Linked DNA regions of Drosophila melanogaster. Each later gene encodes a partner of the first gene's protein in a complex. Each region holds a gene or a part of one and is shown on either strand. Other genes may lie near its edges.

What was found.
Region 2: dre4 (region 1) and Ssrp share a complex: the UniProt entries of both Drosophila melanogaster proteins name them as parts of the FACT complex.

What each region holds. Positions count from the first base shown.
Region 1 is NT_037436.4:1,871,024-1,878,162, forward strand, and holds dre4 (dre4), read right to left. Parts: upstream 5,290-7,139; 5' UTR 5,156-5,289; coding exon 5,087-5,155; intron 4,893-5,086; coding exon 4,629-4,892; intron 4,564-4,628; coding exon 4,264-4,563; intron 4,196-4,263; coding exon 3,018-4,195; intron 2,961-3,017; coding exon 2,094-2,960; intron 2,040-2,093; coding exon 1,777-2,039; intron 1,713-1,776; coding exon 1,559-1,712; intron 1,448-1,558; coding exon 1,331-1,447; intron 895-1,330; coding exon 738-894; 3' UTR 551-737; downstream 1-550. Other genes in the region: CG13924 (uncharacterized protein), read left to right, coding at 1-541; CG13937 (uncharacterized protein), read right to left, coding at 5,665-5,758, 5,825-6,162, 6,268-6,423, 6,495-6,639, 6,738-6,804, 6,869-7,016. UniProt on the Drosophila melanogaster protein: Component of the FACT complex, a general chromatin factor that acts to reorganize nucleosomes. The FACT complex is involved in multiple processes that require DNA as a template such as mRNA elongation, DNA replication and DNA repair.
Region 2 is NT_033778.4:23,805,573-23,810,909, reverse strand, and holds Ssrp (structure specific recognition protein), read left to right. Parts: upstream 1-1,905; 5' UTR 1,906-2,046; coding exon 2,047-2,100; intron 2,101-2,177; coding exon 2,178-3,749; intron 3,750-3,809; coding exon 3,810-4,355; 3' UTR 4,356-4,549; downstream 4,550-5,337. Other genes in the region: CG5543 (uncharacterized protein), read right to left, coding at 1-1,551; CG5539 (uncharacterized protein), read right to left, coding at 5,081-5,337; CG13561 (uncharacterized protein), read left to right, coding at 4,661-4,714, 4,775-4,930. UniProt on the Drosophila melanogaster protein: Component of the FACT complex, a general chromatin factor that acts to reorganize nucleosomes. The FACT complex is involved in multiple processes that require DNA as a template such as mRNA elongation, DNA replication and DNA repair.

The DNA.
Region 1 (7,139 bases):
CTTCACTTCGCGCAGTTTTAGCTTTCGCCGTCGGCCCAAGCCCACGCCCACTCTATCCTCTGCCTCCGCTTCCACGACGTCTCCTTCGGTGCGGATGAACTACAAGATCTGCTGCGAGCACCGGCATTCGATTCAGGGCAAGCTACCCAGGTACACGGGCTACATGTCCGAGTACGGACTGACTGCCCAGCAACTGCAGCGGCGCGACCAGCAACTGCGGCGGAAGCAGCGCTTCTCCATGGAGCAGACCATCAATCGCAACGAGCAGGAGCTGAAGAAGATGCAGGACAACGAGCGCGCCTTCACCACCTGGCTGAAGAACAAGATGCGCTATCCGATCAACAAGACCCGCAACATGTTCGATGCGCACAAAAGGCGGGGTAGTGTGGCCGCCGCCGGAAGTCCGCGCCAGCATCCCCAAGCTCATCCGCATCTGCACCAGGAGCAGGAGCAGCGCGGCGGACGGCGAAGGCGGCGGCGCGACAGCGGGGAAGTGGAGGTGCACGCCTATCGGCATCTGCTCGGCAGCTGGAACAAGTAGGAGTAATGTAGTTCTTACATTAGTTTATTATATTAATGTATCGTATTATATTTAATTTGTAATACAACTTTTGAAGCGTGACAAAAATGAGTGACGGGGGATTGGGGTGGCGGGTCCTTTAACAGATAGACAATGGTAACAGGAGAGCTAGATTACGAACGGAGTGCCACACAGGCTTGGCGACAGGAACAGCTCCCTAATGTCGCGACTTCTTCGACTTGTGCCCATTGTCGCGACTGTCATCCCGCGAGCGCTTGCGATCCTTGTCCTTGCTGCTGCTCTTGTTTCCGGACGATGAGGAGGAATGATGCTTGTCCCGGCTGTTGTACTTGTCCTTCGACGACTTCGACGGGCTTTAAAATAATCAAGGGAATTTGGAAATGTGTTAAAAGAAATTTCACAAATAATTACTCCTCTGTGGTTATCAATTTTGAGCAAGCGAGTTATGATGCTGTTCTTTTTTTTTCTTTCTTTTTATCAATTTTGCCAGACTGAACAATCATAAATAATTCAACATAAACCCAAACAGAAAGTGGTTGTAAACGGATGGAATTTGGGGTATCCCTATCCAAAACTTGCCAAGCCAACACCAGAAATAAATAATATCAACAAAAAATAACTCTTAAAAACGTCCAATTGCTTGGTTTTTTGTTCCACCAAAGAAGAAAATCAAATTTATAACGAAACTTCCAGTGTGTAATGGTTTGTGAGTGAAAAATGATATGTGAAATGCACTTGCGTTAGGCCGTATGGTTGGGTATTAAGTGTTCGGGGCTTTCGATAACAAACCTAGATGAGCTGCCATGTTTGGAGCTGGAGGACTTTAAATGCGAAGAGGACGAGGAGGAGTTCGACTTGTGCTTTTTACTGTGCGACGACGATCGAGCCTCCTCGCGGTCGCGGCGACTGTGGTGGACGTAAAATGTTGTAGAACGATTGATATAGATAAGAGAAAGGAGATCTCGGATAAGGTAACCCTTAATGGAAACCCGTCCATGATGGGATCGTGGCTCATACCTGTGCTTTGAACTCTTGCCGTGCTTCTTCGAATCGAATTTGCCGTTGCGTGGTTTGTCATCTGCGGCATAATCGTGGTTGCGGTCTTCCTCAGCAGCCTCGCGCTCCAGATCGGACCAATCCTTGCCAGATTCCTCATCAGAGCCAAGGTCCTCTGTAAATTATGATGAAAATATTAACCAACTAGAAGATATGGAATGTTTTGGGTTTGTGCATACCATCGCTTTCCTCGCTGTCTTCTGATGCCTCTGAGTACTCGGAATCTTCGTCCGACTCCTCATCCGATTCGGCGTCGGTGGGATTGTAGGCCTCGTCCTCTTCGGATTCGGCGGTTTCGTTTTCGCCTTCGCTGCCCGATTCCGGGTCCAAGAATGTCCAGCCGCCTTGTTCAAAGAATCCCTCAGGATCGTCGGTGATGGTCTTCATGATCTTTTGCCAGTTCAGGGATTGAACACCCTCCGAATAGCGGATGTCGCAGGAGCTACAGGATACTCATTAGTAAAAGTGCATTTTGCAAATGGGCAGATGAACTTACTTGAGCCACTCCTTCACGTGATCCAGCATGTTCATAGGAATGGCGTTCACCATGGCAACCTTCTTATTGTACTCCTTGAACACAAATATCATATCGAAGTTGCGCAAGTGGAACTGAACGCGCTCGAAGTGCACCAACTCCACATCGTCCAGCGTGATGACAAATGGTGGCCATTCCGTCAGATTGACCAGGGAGCCCGAGGTGGGTTGCAGCGTCACCGTGCTGCGGAAGGGTGCTCCAGGGAATCCCAACTCACGGAACGGCGTGTCGAACTCCACTACCGACTTGGTCATGGTTTCCACCTTCTCGCAGAAGCTCTTGAAGGCAGTCTTGAGCTTGTGCCGCAGCTCACGTTCTGCCTGCTCAGCAGCCAAGTCGTCGCGGTCGTGCATGTGCTGGTGCTTGCCCAGATCCGTGGTGATCTCTCCCACTTCCGTGTAGAACTGTACATCCACGTGCTTCTTTTTGCCAAACATAATGGCGTACTTCAGGTGGAAATGCAGAAGAATGATCATCTCGCCATCGCAGGGCTGGAAAAACGCGCTTTTGATGTTGTTGTACAAGATGTCCACCTTGTCGCCGCGCACGGAGATGTAGCGGAATCCATTGCTGTGCGCTTCCAGGCTGCCCGTCATGCGCTTGGTCACGATGTTGGGCCGAATGTATAGGTCCTTCAGCTTGGGATTACCCTTGTTCTGGGACAGAATGAGTGTGTCTTGCTTCACAAGATCCTCCTTTTCGCGCTCCTCAGCCTCGCGGGTCTTGAAGCGCTTCTGCACCTCCTTGATCAGCCGGAAAGCATTGTTTAGATTTGCGGATGGAGCTCCCACCTCCCCGTGTTCCTTAACATTAGAGCTGCGGTATGTACTGCAGGAAAAGTGTCTAGTTAGTGCATTCCTTAAGCAGATTTCGCACTATACTTACACTTCCTTGACAAATGTGGCCTCTGGCTGAGGATAGAGTCCGCCTTCGTTGCGACCCATTGTGGCGCCGGGATGAAAGAAGTTGATACGCAAGTACGTGTACTCGCCCTCCACCGACTGCGAGATGTTCTTGATGGTGGATATATGGAACGGCACCTGGATGCCGAACACTGGCATGATGACGGTCTCGTACTTCTTATCCACGTAAAGCTTGAGCTCCTTGACTTCCGGCTCGCGCGGCATTTGGCTGATGGACTTGTAGGAGACGGTGTTCTTGCGCACTTTCTCGACCTCCTTCGAGTTTCCCTGCCTGGCCAGCCGATCCTTGGCGCGCTCGTTCAGCTGCTGAGCCAGCTCGCGCTGGTGCTCCTTGCGCTTCTCCTCCGTGTTGATCTCGTTTCGCAGCTTTGACTCCAGCACCGCGTTGCGCTTGCTGCGGCCCAGGATCTCGGTGCCCTGATCTTCTTTAGCGGTCTTCTTGTCGTCCACATCTTCCTCGTCGCTGTCGTCCTTGATAAAGATGCCGACGTTCTTGATCTTCTTCTTGGACGGAGTCATCACACTGGCTGGGGATTGTTCGCCTACTAGCACAGTGTCTCCGATGAAGAGGGCGTAGTTCTTGCCCTCTTTGTCGGTGGCTTCGGGATTGGTCAGATTCGAGATGCCCACGTGCAAATTAAAGACCATATTCTTCTTGAGTAGCGCCTGGCATTTGGGTCCGATGACAATGGAGTTCTCCCGGAACTCTAGGCCCATGGCGAAACCAAAGCTTTTGGGCAGATTGTCCACCATACTCGGCTTCTCCTTCTTCACGAAGTCCAGGGTCTTTTCGTAGACGTCGCACAGCTTTGTGCCCGGAACCAGCAGCTTGAGAATCTCCTCCTGCACACTTACCAGAAATGTGTAGTTCTCCTGCATGGCCTCGGTGGGATTCACCAGAAAGGTGCGCGATATATTTGAGCAATACGACTTGTAGCGGGCGCCCAAGGAGCACACAATCACACCGAAGTGCAAGGGATTTTTGTCCGCCACCGCGGAGAACTTCAGGCTGTAGGCTCCTCCCGATTGGATGATGGGTGGGTAGGCCATATCGAGGAGTCTGGGATCCAGACCACTGGTGTACTTCTTCTCGCCAATGGCAGCCTCGCAGCCATCTGAGAGCTTGTTGTGTTTGACTTTCTAAAAAGGAGGTTAAAAAGGTTAATATATTAGGAAAACACATAATATTATAGCCGCCAGGTGCTCACCCTATCCGAATCAATAATGTCCATGATCTCATCTTTCAAATACTTGTTGAAAATGTCCATTGACACTAGCGATGCCTTGCGTATGTTGTTGATCTCCGACTCATCCTTGGGACACATGAGGTAGGCGATAATAGTGCTAATGTCCACATGCTCGAACTTGGACGCCGTCAGGGATTTCTTCCATGCTTCGCTGAACTCCCCGGGATAGGCGTCCTTGGCGAAGACGCCCAAACGCTTGCCCTTCTTCGAGTTTTGCAGGGCTTTGATGAGCTTCTCGAAGTTGCCCTGGTCCTTGTCCGTCTTCTCGAAGTCAAGATCAGAAAGGATTAGAGAACTTTTGGCCTGGAGCAGAAATCGAAACTCACCCGATCCCTAACAAGCAGATTGATTTCCGGAAAACCTTCTTCGGTGATGTTCTGCGTCTGCTTCAGGAATTCTATTTTCTTTTTGCTAGTGAGAAAATACACGGCATCCGAGCAAAACACTGAGATGGTGTCCGTCAGCTCGTAGCCCAGCAGCCAGAGCTGCAGGGCCATGGACTTGGAGTACATGACATCCTCTTCGACGCCCACGATGCTCATGATGCAGTCCAGATTCCTGAGCGCGTCATCGTGTCCGATGCTGGGAGCCTGCGAAAGACAAAGAGTCCGATATTATTATGCAGTAATCCTCTTTTCCCCAAACAACCTGGTCTATGGGTAATTAATTTCACCACATCTCCCAATCTTTCATTATCGTGACCCGTCTGCAGAGTCTCCACGTGCTCCCCGGTGCTCCTGCGGCCCCAAAAACACGCAGATCGCCGACCGGCGGACAGACTCACCCTCCATTCCGTGTAGAGGCGTTTCACGCGGCGCACGAACGCCTCCTTGTCCAGCACAAAGCTCGACATATTGCCGCCGGATTTGTTACTGTGTATGCGTTAACTCCGCTTAAAATGCGCTAAACGCCAGAAATTGCATTTGCAAATTCCGCCGGATAAAAAAATTGCGCGGCGACCAGATGAAGAAGAAGCAGAATAAGCGTCAGCTCGACGTGAGTGAGACCGCTCTCAAAAATACCGTAATATACCAGTTGTCAATGTAAAAATAGTGTAACCAAGCAACAGTACAGACACGTCTAGCAGGGACTCGAACCATATATGAACATTTTACGCGCTAAAAATTGGTGCACTGAAAAAAATGTTTAAAACTGGATTTAATTAAAAATGTGTCTCGCCAAAAATACATTTTTACATTAAATAAAAGACTTTGGCACAGGCTTCGTTTAAATATAGCTAATTTTATTATTGTTTTCTTCAGTATTATCAACATTTGCAATTACGTACTGTGACGGCTAATATGTGAGTTCGTTGAACTTGATTCATTGGTTTTTAGCAAAGTCTAAGAATTCAGAGCTAGTTTAATTCTTTGTGCCCGCCGGACTTTCGGCCTCATCCGGCCGGGCAACCTGCAGATACTCCTGGATATCGTAGTCGAACAGCTCGAAGTCGTATCTGTGGGGAGGAATTTTAACTTGTAAGTATGCTACCATAATCTAAAAATTTAAATGGATGACCCACTTGTAATACTCGTAGAGCTCCAGCATTTCCTGGCGTGTCAGCTGCGCATAGAACTGCTGCTGGAGCTCGTGCGTCTTGCGGCCCTTGCCCATGTTGCGCCACACGGGCGCTATCACCCGCTTGAGGCCAGTCTTTTCGATTAGATATAATTGATCCTCCGCCAGCGATTCGAACTTCAGTATCATGTCGAACCGGATGAGGCAGGGTGTGCAGAACGAGGTGGCCGCCACGAAGTGCATGTCGATGAAGCTGCCGCGCTTCACCTGGTCGAGCAGCCAGTGCACGAATTCCGGAAACGATGGGAACTTTGTGTTGGCCGCACGGGCAGCCAGTGACGGCTATTGGATAAAATACAATGTATTAGATGCATTCGATGCGTATACTTGATATTGCTATTGCAACAATATCGTGTATACGCAGTGGGTTACAGTCGAAATGCTTACCTTCTTGCGGTAGTTGCGCACAATGCTGCGTCCCAACTTATCGTGGAAGGAGTAGGGCAGGGCGAACACCATCTTGTCCCGATAGGCACTCAACAGCCGCTCGAAGGGATCGCGTGCGATGATAAAGGTCACCGAGTAGTTCTGTGCCTCACGCAGCTGTCGCCCGAAATAGAAAGAGTTTAATTTAGGTTTGAGGAAGGGGATTAAGAACTCCTTTCGAGACGCACCTCGTCGAGGGTCACCCTGGGATAGCGCTCCCTGGCCAGGTTGAGAAGGATCTTCTTGGTTTTGCGCAGATAGCTGGGCGAGTAACCGGCCAGGACGTTGAAGTTGAACATCCAGGACGATGAGGCAGCCTTAAAGACATTGCACCTGCACGGAAAATAAATAGTAAGTTAAGATCCTATTTGTCAAATCCGAATGACACACTAAAATGGAATCGTTGAAGAGTGAATAAAGGGCACACCCACCAGATAATGTGATACTTTTTGTTGACCAAAAATTCCCACGTGTTCGGCGTGTGCCACGCGTCGTGACCTGTAAATAAAACACAAGCGATCAGACCCCAATCCATTTGGCGAATCCAAAGCGAAGGACCCACCCAGGACATCCAGGCCGTAGGCGGAGCACTTGTCCTTTAGCCGCTCCCTGCGCTGGTCCATCCGCTGCTCCACCTGGAGCATTTCCTGCGGCGTGAGTGTCTGCACGGCATGCTCGGGGATGAGGGGCAGGAGTGTCTGGTTGCTGTCCTGTTTGGAGGGCAAATATGCGAAAGGTGAGCCACAGTGAGTCCAGTACATGGGTTTCTCGACCGGAATGGGGCTAGAGAATGGGGGGTGGGGTGCCCAAATGCCTGCCAATGCGACTCGCTA
Region 2 (5,337 bases), on another chromosome or scaffold:
ATGCGTCTTCACTACGCACAGCTTGGCGCCCCGGATGCTGCGGTGCTCATCGTAATAGCACTTAATGGTTCCATTGCCACAGCTCACGAACAGTTGGTTGAGCTTTGGGTGCCACAGCGTTTTCACCACGTGCGCGTTGGACACGGGAATCCGCTGCACTTCCTCGTAGCTCTTAGTGCTGTAGAAATACAGGTTCGCTTCGGCCTGGCCCTTCGGAAGCGATTCTCCGGTGACTAGCAGACGGTCATCTGGACTAAAGCAGCAATCTGTTGTGTCGTAGCGGGAGAACAGGTTTGTCCAGGTATGCAGCGGCTGTTTGAACTGCCGCAGATCCCAAAGCTTCATGGTCTCGTCGTTGCTGCGAGTGGCCAACTGCTGACCCATGTACGAGAACACAATGGAGGTGATCTCCGAACCCTTCTGATGCGCATCCCTGACGCAGTGCGTGGTGTTCACAAACATCTTGCGCGTGTCCCACGTCTGAATGGAACCATCCACGCAGCCCGCTGCTATGAGTGTGGCGTCCCTGTTAAAGTTGCATGATGCTGCGTTGGTGCGGAGGCCTCCCTGCGCCCTTGTCTTGATCACCTGCAACTGTTCCTTGGACTTCAATCCCTGCCAGATGCGCAGAGTACCGTCGAGAGCTGCGGTCAGGAACTGCTCCCTGTTAAATGGATGCCAGCAGCCGGAGGTCAACTGTGCCACGTGGCCCTTGGTGCGCGACATGTCCGAGATATACTGGTCGCCCTTGCAGCACTCCAGTTTCTCGAATCCATCGCGGTCGAGGACCTTGGCCTGGGCGTTTCCGGAGATGACCAGGATCATGTCGCCGGTCACGGAGTACTGGAGAGAACGTATGGGATGGTTCTCGCACGGCTGCAGTTGCCGGAAGCTACGCATGCTCGAGTCCATGCCGGCGAAATCCCAGAAGCACATATCGTAGTCTATGGAACCAGAGACCAAGCGGGCACCCGAGGGATCGCCAGCCAGGGCAAGGACAGCGCGGGAACCGTGCTGCATCTGCACCTCGTGTGTGTAGGGTATGCGCTTAGCAAGGCTTTGTTCGTCATCTGAATCTTCATCGGACGAATAATCATCGTCATCGGAGTCTTCGTCTTTGGACGATTCCTTCGTGGCTTTCTCCTTGTCTGTGGTCACAGCTGGTGGTAGGGGACCTATTACGTCCTCCTCTTCCTCGTCTTTCTGGTCATCCTCCTTCGGCTTGGACTCCTCCCTTTTTTTGTCCATTCCCGGGCGGGTAACTCTCGCCTTTTCTATCTGCTCGTTGATGTCGAACACCTTGGCCGCCTTGCGACCAAAGCCACTGATGCCCATCACTTCCTTGAGGTGCTGGCTCTCCAGATCTTCGGCCACGTCCTCGATCTGCCGAATCATCTGCTCCTTGTCCATTTTCTTGAATCCTCCGCCATTTCCGCTGGCTTCAGTGGACTCCTTTGCATCTTCCGCCTCGGTTTCGTTGGATCTTGGCTCCGCAGGAGGTACGTTTACATTCAGTTTGATTTTCCCGAAGGAAATTTTACCGCGTTGCATAGTTTTAAGGCCCCACGCTAAGTGGATTTTCAAATTTTTAATTAAAACTATATTTCTCTGAAAATATGCGGTAAATATTTTGTAAACAAGTGAATTAAGTGACCGTTTATATTCGGACTGTCAATTTGGTATTTTAAAAGATCGAGCGAATTGTTATGGTCTTTAAATAAGCTCTGGCTTGCCCATTAAAATTTTTCAATTTAATAATGACTCATATATTGTTCATGTATTGCAAACAAGATATATATAAACAATAAAGGAAACTGCATTGGAATATTAAGAGTTTATATCGATTGCAATTTAAGAATAGTGCACTCAAAAATACTAAACACACATACGGTCACTCTAATATAGCTGACTGGCGTCTAACCTAAAATTAGGCGCGCAGTGTTGTTTTGTGTCTGCCGGAATTATTGTAAATTGGTGACAATTTCGCAAGGCGGCGTAATACATAGTTGATCTATTATCTTGTTACTGGAGAGGAAGAAGTGCAGGATGACAGACTCTCTGGAGTACAACGACATAAACGCCGAAGTGCGCGGAGTCTTGGTGAGTCGCAAAAAAGCCGGCGTATTTTGTCACATTTCGCATGACCGAGGTTTTCCATTTCCCTGCGCGCAAAAAAGTGTTCCGGACGCCTAAAGATGACCGAGCAGAACATCATCTTCAAGAACACCAAGACCGGCAAGGTGGAGCAGATCTCGGCAGAGGACATAGACCTGATCAATTCGCAGAAGTTCGTGGGCACCTGGGGACTGAGGGTGTTCACCAAAGGCGGCGTGCTCCACCGCTTCACCGGATTCCGCGACAGCGAGCACGAGAAGCTGGGCAAGTTTATCAAGGCTGCCTACTCGCAGGAGATGGTCGAGAAGGAGATGTGCGTCAAGGGCTGGAACTGGGGCACCGCCCGCTTCATGGGCTCCGTCCTGAGCTTCGACAAGGAGTCGAAGACCATCTTCGAGGTGCCGCTGTCGCACGTTTCGCAGTGCGTGACCGGCAAGAACGAGGTCACCCTGGAGTTCCACCAAAACGACGATGCGCCCGTGGGTCTACTGGAGATGCGGTTCCACATACCCGCCGTGGAGTCGGCCGAGGAGGATCCGGTAGACAAGTTCCACCAGAACGTAATGAGCAAGGCCTCGGTCATCTCGGCTTCGGGCGAGTCCATCGCCATTTTCAGAGAGATCCAGATCCTCACGCCTCGCGGTCGCTATGACATCAAGATCTTCTCGACCTTCTTCCAGCTGCACGGCAAGACGTTCGACTACAAGATTCCCATGGACTCGGTGCTGCGGCTCTTCATGCTGCCCCACAAAGACAGTCGACAGATGTTCTTTGTGCTCTCCTTGGATCCGCCCATCAAGCAGGGACAAACGCGTTACCACTACCTGGTCCTGCTGTTTGCTCCCGATGAGGAGACCACCATTGAGCTGCCATTCTCGGAAGCCGAGTTGCGAGACAAGTACGAGGGCAAGCTGGAGAAAGAGATCTCCGGGCCGGTGTACGAGGTGATGGGCAAAGTGATGAAGGTGCTGATCGGTCGAAAAATTACCGGACCCGGTAACTTTATCGGACACTCTGGCACGGCTGCAGTGGGCTGCTCGTTCAAGGCTGCAGCTGGATATCTGTATCCCCTGGAGCGAGGATTCATCTATATCCACAAGCCACCGCTGCATATCCGCTTTGAGGAGATTAGTTCTGTGAACTTTGCCCGCAGCGGCGGATCCACGCGATCTTTCGACTTCGAAGTGACGCTCAAGAACGGAACTGTTCACATCTTCTCCTCCATCGAGAAGGAGGAGTATGCCAAGCTCTTCGACTACATCACACAGAAGAAGTTGCATGTCAGCAACATGGGCAAGGACAAGAGCGGCTACAAGGACGTGGACTTTGGTGATTCGGACAACGAGAACGAACCAGATGCCTATCTGGCTCGCCTCAAGGCTGAGGCGAGGGAAAAGGAGGAGGACGACGACGATGGCGACTCGGATGAAGAGTCCACGGATGAGGACTTCAAGCCCAACGAGAACGAGTCCGATGTGGCCGAGGAGTATGACAGCAACGTGGAGAGTGATTCGGACGATGACAGCGATGCTAGTGGCGGCGGAGGCGACAGCGACGGCGCCAAGAAAAAGAAGGAGAAGAAGTCCGAGAAGAAAGAGAAAAAGGAGAAAAAACACAAGGAGAAGGAGAGAACAGTGAGTAATGTTTGCTTATTATTATAGCTTATGGTAACATGTTTTTATATGTTTTTATAGAAGAAACCCTCCAAGAAGAAGAAGGACTCTGGCAAACCCAAGCGCGCCACCACCGCTTTCATGCTCTGGCTGAACGACACGCGCGAGAGCATCAAGAGGGAAAATCCGGGCATAAAGGTTACCGAGATCGCCAAGAAGGGCGGCGAGATGTGGAAGGAGCTGAAGGACAAGTCCAAGTGGGAGGATGCGGCGGCCAAGGACAAGCAGCGCTACCACGACGAGATGCGCAACTACAAGCCTGAAGCGGGCGGTGACAGCGACAACGAGAAGGGTGGAAAGTCCTCCAAGAAGCGCAAGACGGAGCCTTCTCCATCCAAGAAGGCGAATACCTCGGGCAGCGGCTTCAAGAGCAAGGAGTACATTTCGGACGACGACTCCACCAGCTCCGACGACGAGAAGGACAACGAGCCTGCCAAGAAGAAGAGCAAGCCCCCATCCGACGGCGATGCCAAGAAGAAAAAGGCCAAGAGCGAGAGCGAACCGGAGGAGAGCGAGGAGGACAGCAATGCCAGCGATGAGGATGAGGAAGATGAGGCCAGTGATTAGGGCCATAAACACAACAAATCAATTCCATAAACACACACCACGCTCCTCACACACCCATGTCCCAAATCTAGTTTACATTCGCCTAGTTTAGTTAAGTGCTGCCTGTTGGATACAGACCCATACGTTTTTGTTTAATTAAAACTCAACAACAATTCGAAAGTTCAAGTAATTAAACAGAATTGATAATTGCCCGTAATGATTGATATCTATCGATTATGGTTTCGCTTGACTGGCTTTTGCCACTTTCGTCAACATTATAATGCCACAGTTTGCCAGTTTTTAATGGCTCTTTGGTGAACTTAGTGATGGCCACGTTGACAGAGTTATTCCTCTTGTTTGGGCTGTGGCACATTTTGCAGGCAAGTTCGACCGTAAGCTAGGCCGGCTGGGATTATGAACCGAACACTAGCTCACTTCAGGTCCAAGGAGTTGCCAAGTTCACAAACATCGAGTGCCTGAGTGCGGACGAAAACTTCACCACCGTTTCCCTGTGCCGATTGTACGCCGTAAAGAGGGATGTCGTCGAAATGAGTCTGCGGGCCAACATCCTGCGATGGCCAAAAGGTCCGGTATCGGTGAGTTAGTTTGCAAAGCTAGGGCGTTCCTGAATGCCATAGTTGAATAGCTATCTATAGTAGAAAATGCGAGTCCAAAACACTAGTAATTAAACAACTTGAAACCTATCCATGCCTAAAACCAATTTATGTTTTGAATTAATGAAATAACTATAAACCTGTTTGAGGTTTCACAAATGATTGTGCTAAAAGACGGCGACGGCTGGCCGGTTGACGCTGCTGACGCACTTCCTGGCCGCTGGTCTCCATCGCCGTCTTGGCCAGCAGATCCTCCACATCGTCATGGAGGTCCTCCAGCTTGGTGGCGGAGGCAATAGCAATGGCATTCTTGAACTTGCGCTGAGGTCGGCGATTAATTATCCTGGGTGATTCCGACGACACGTCGCTCTGGAACTGCTCCGCCTGCA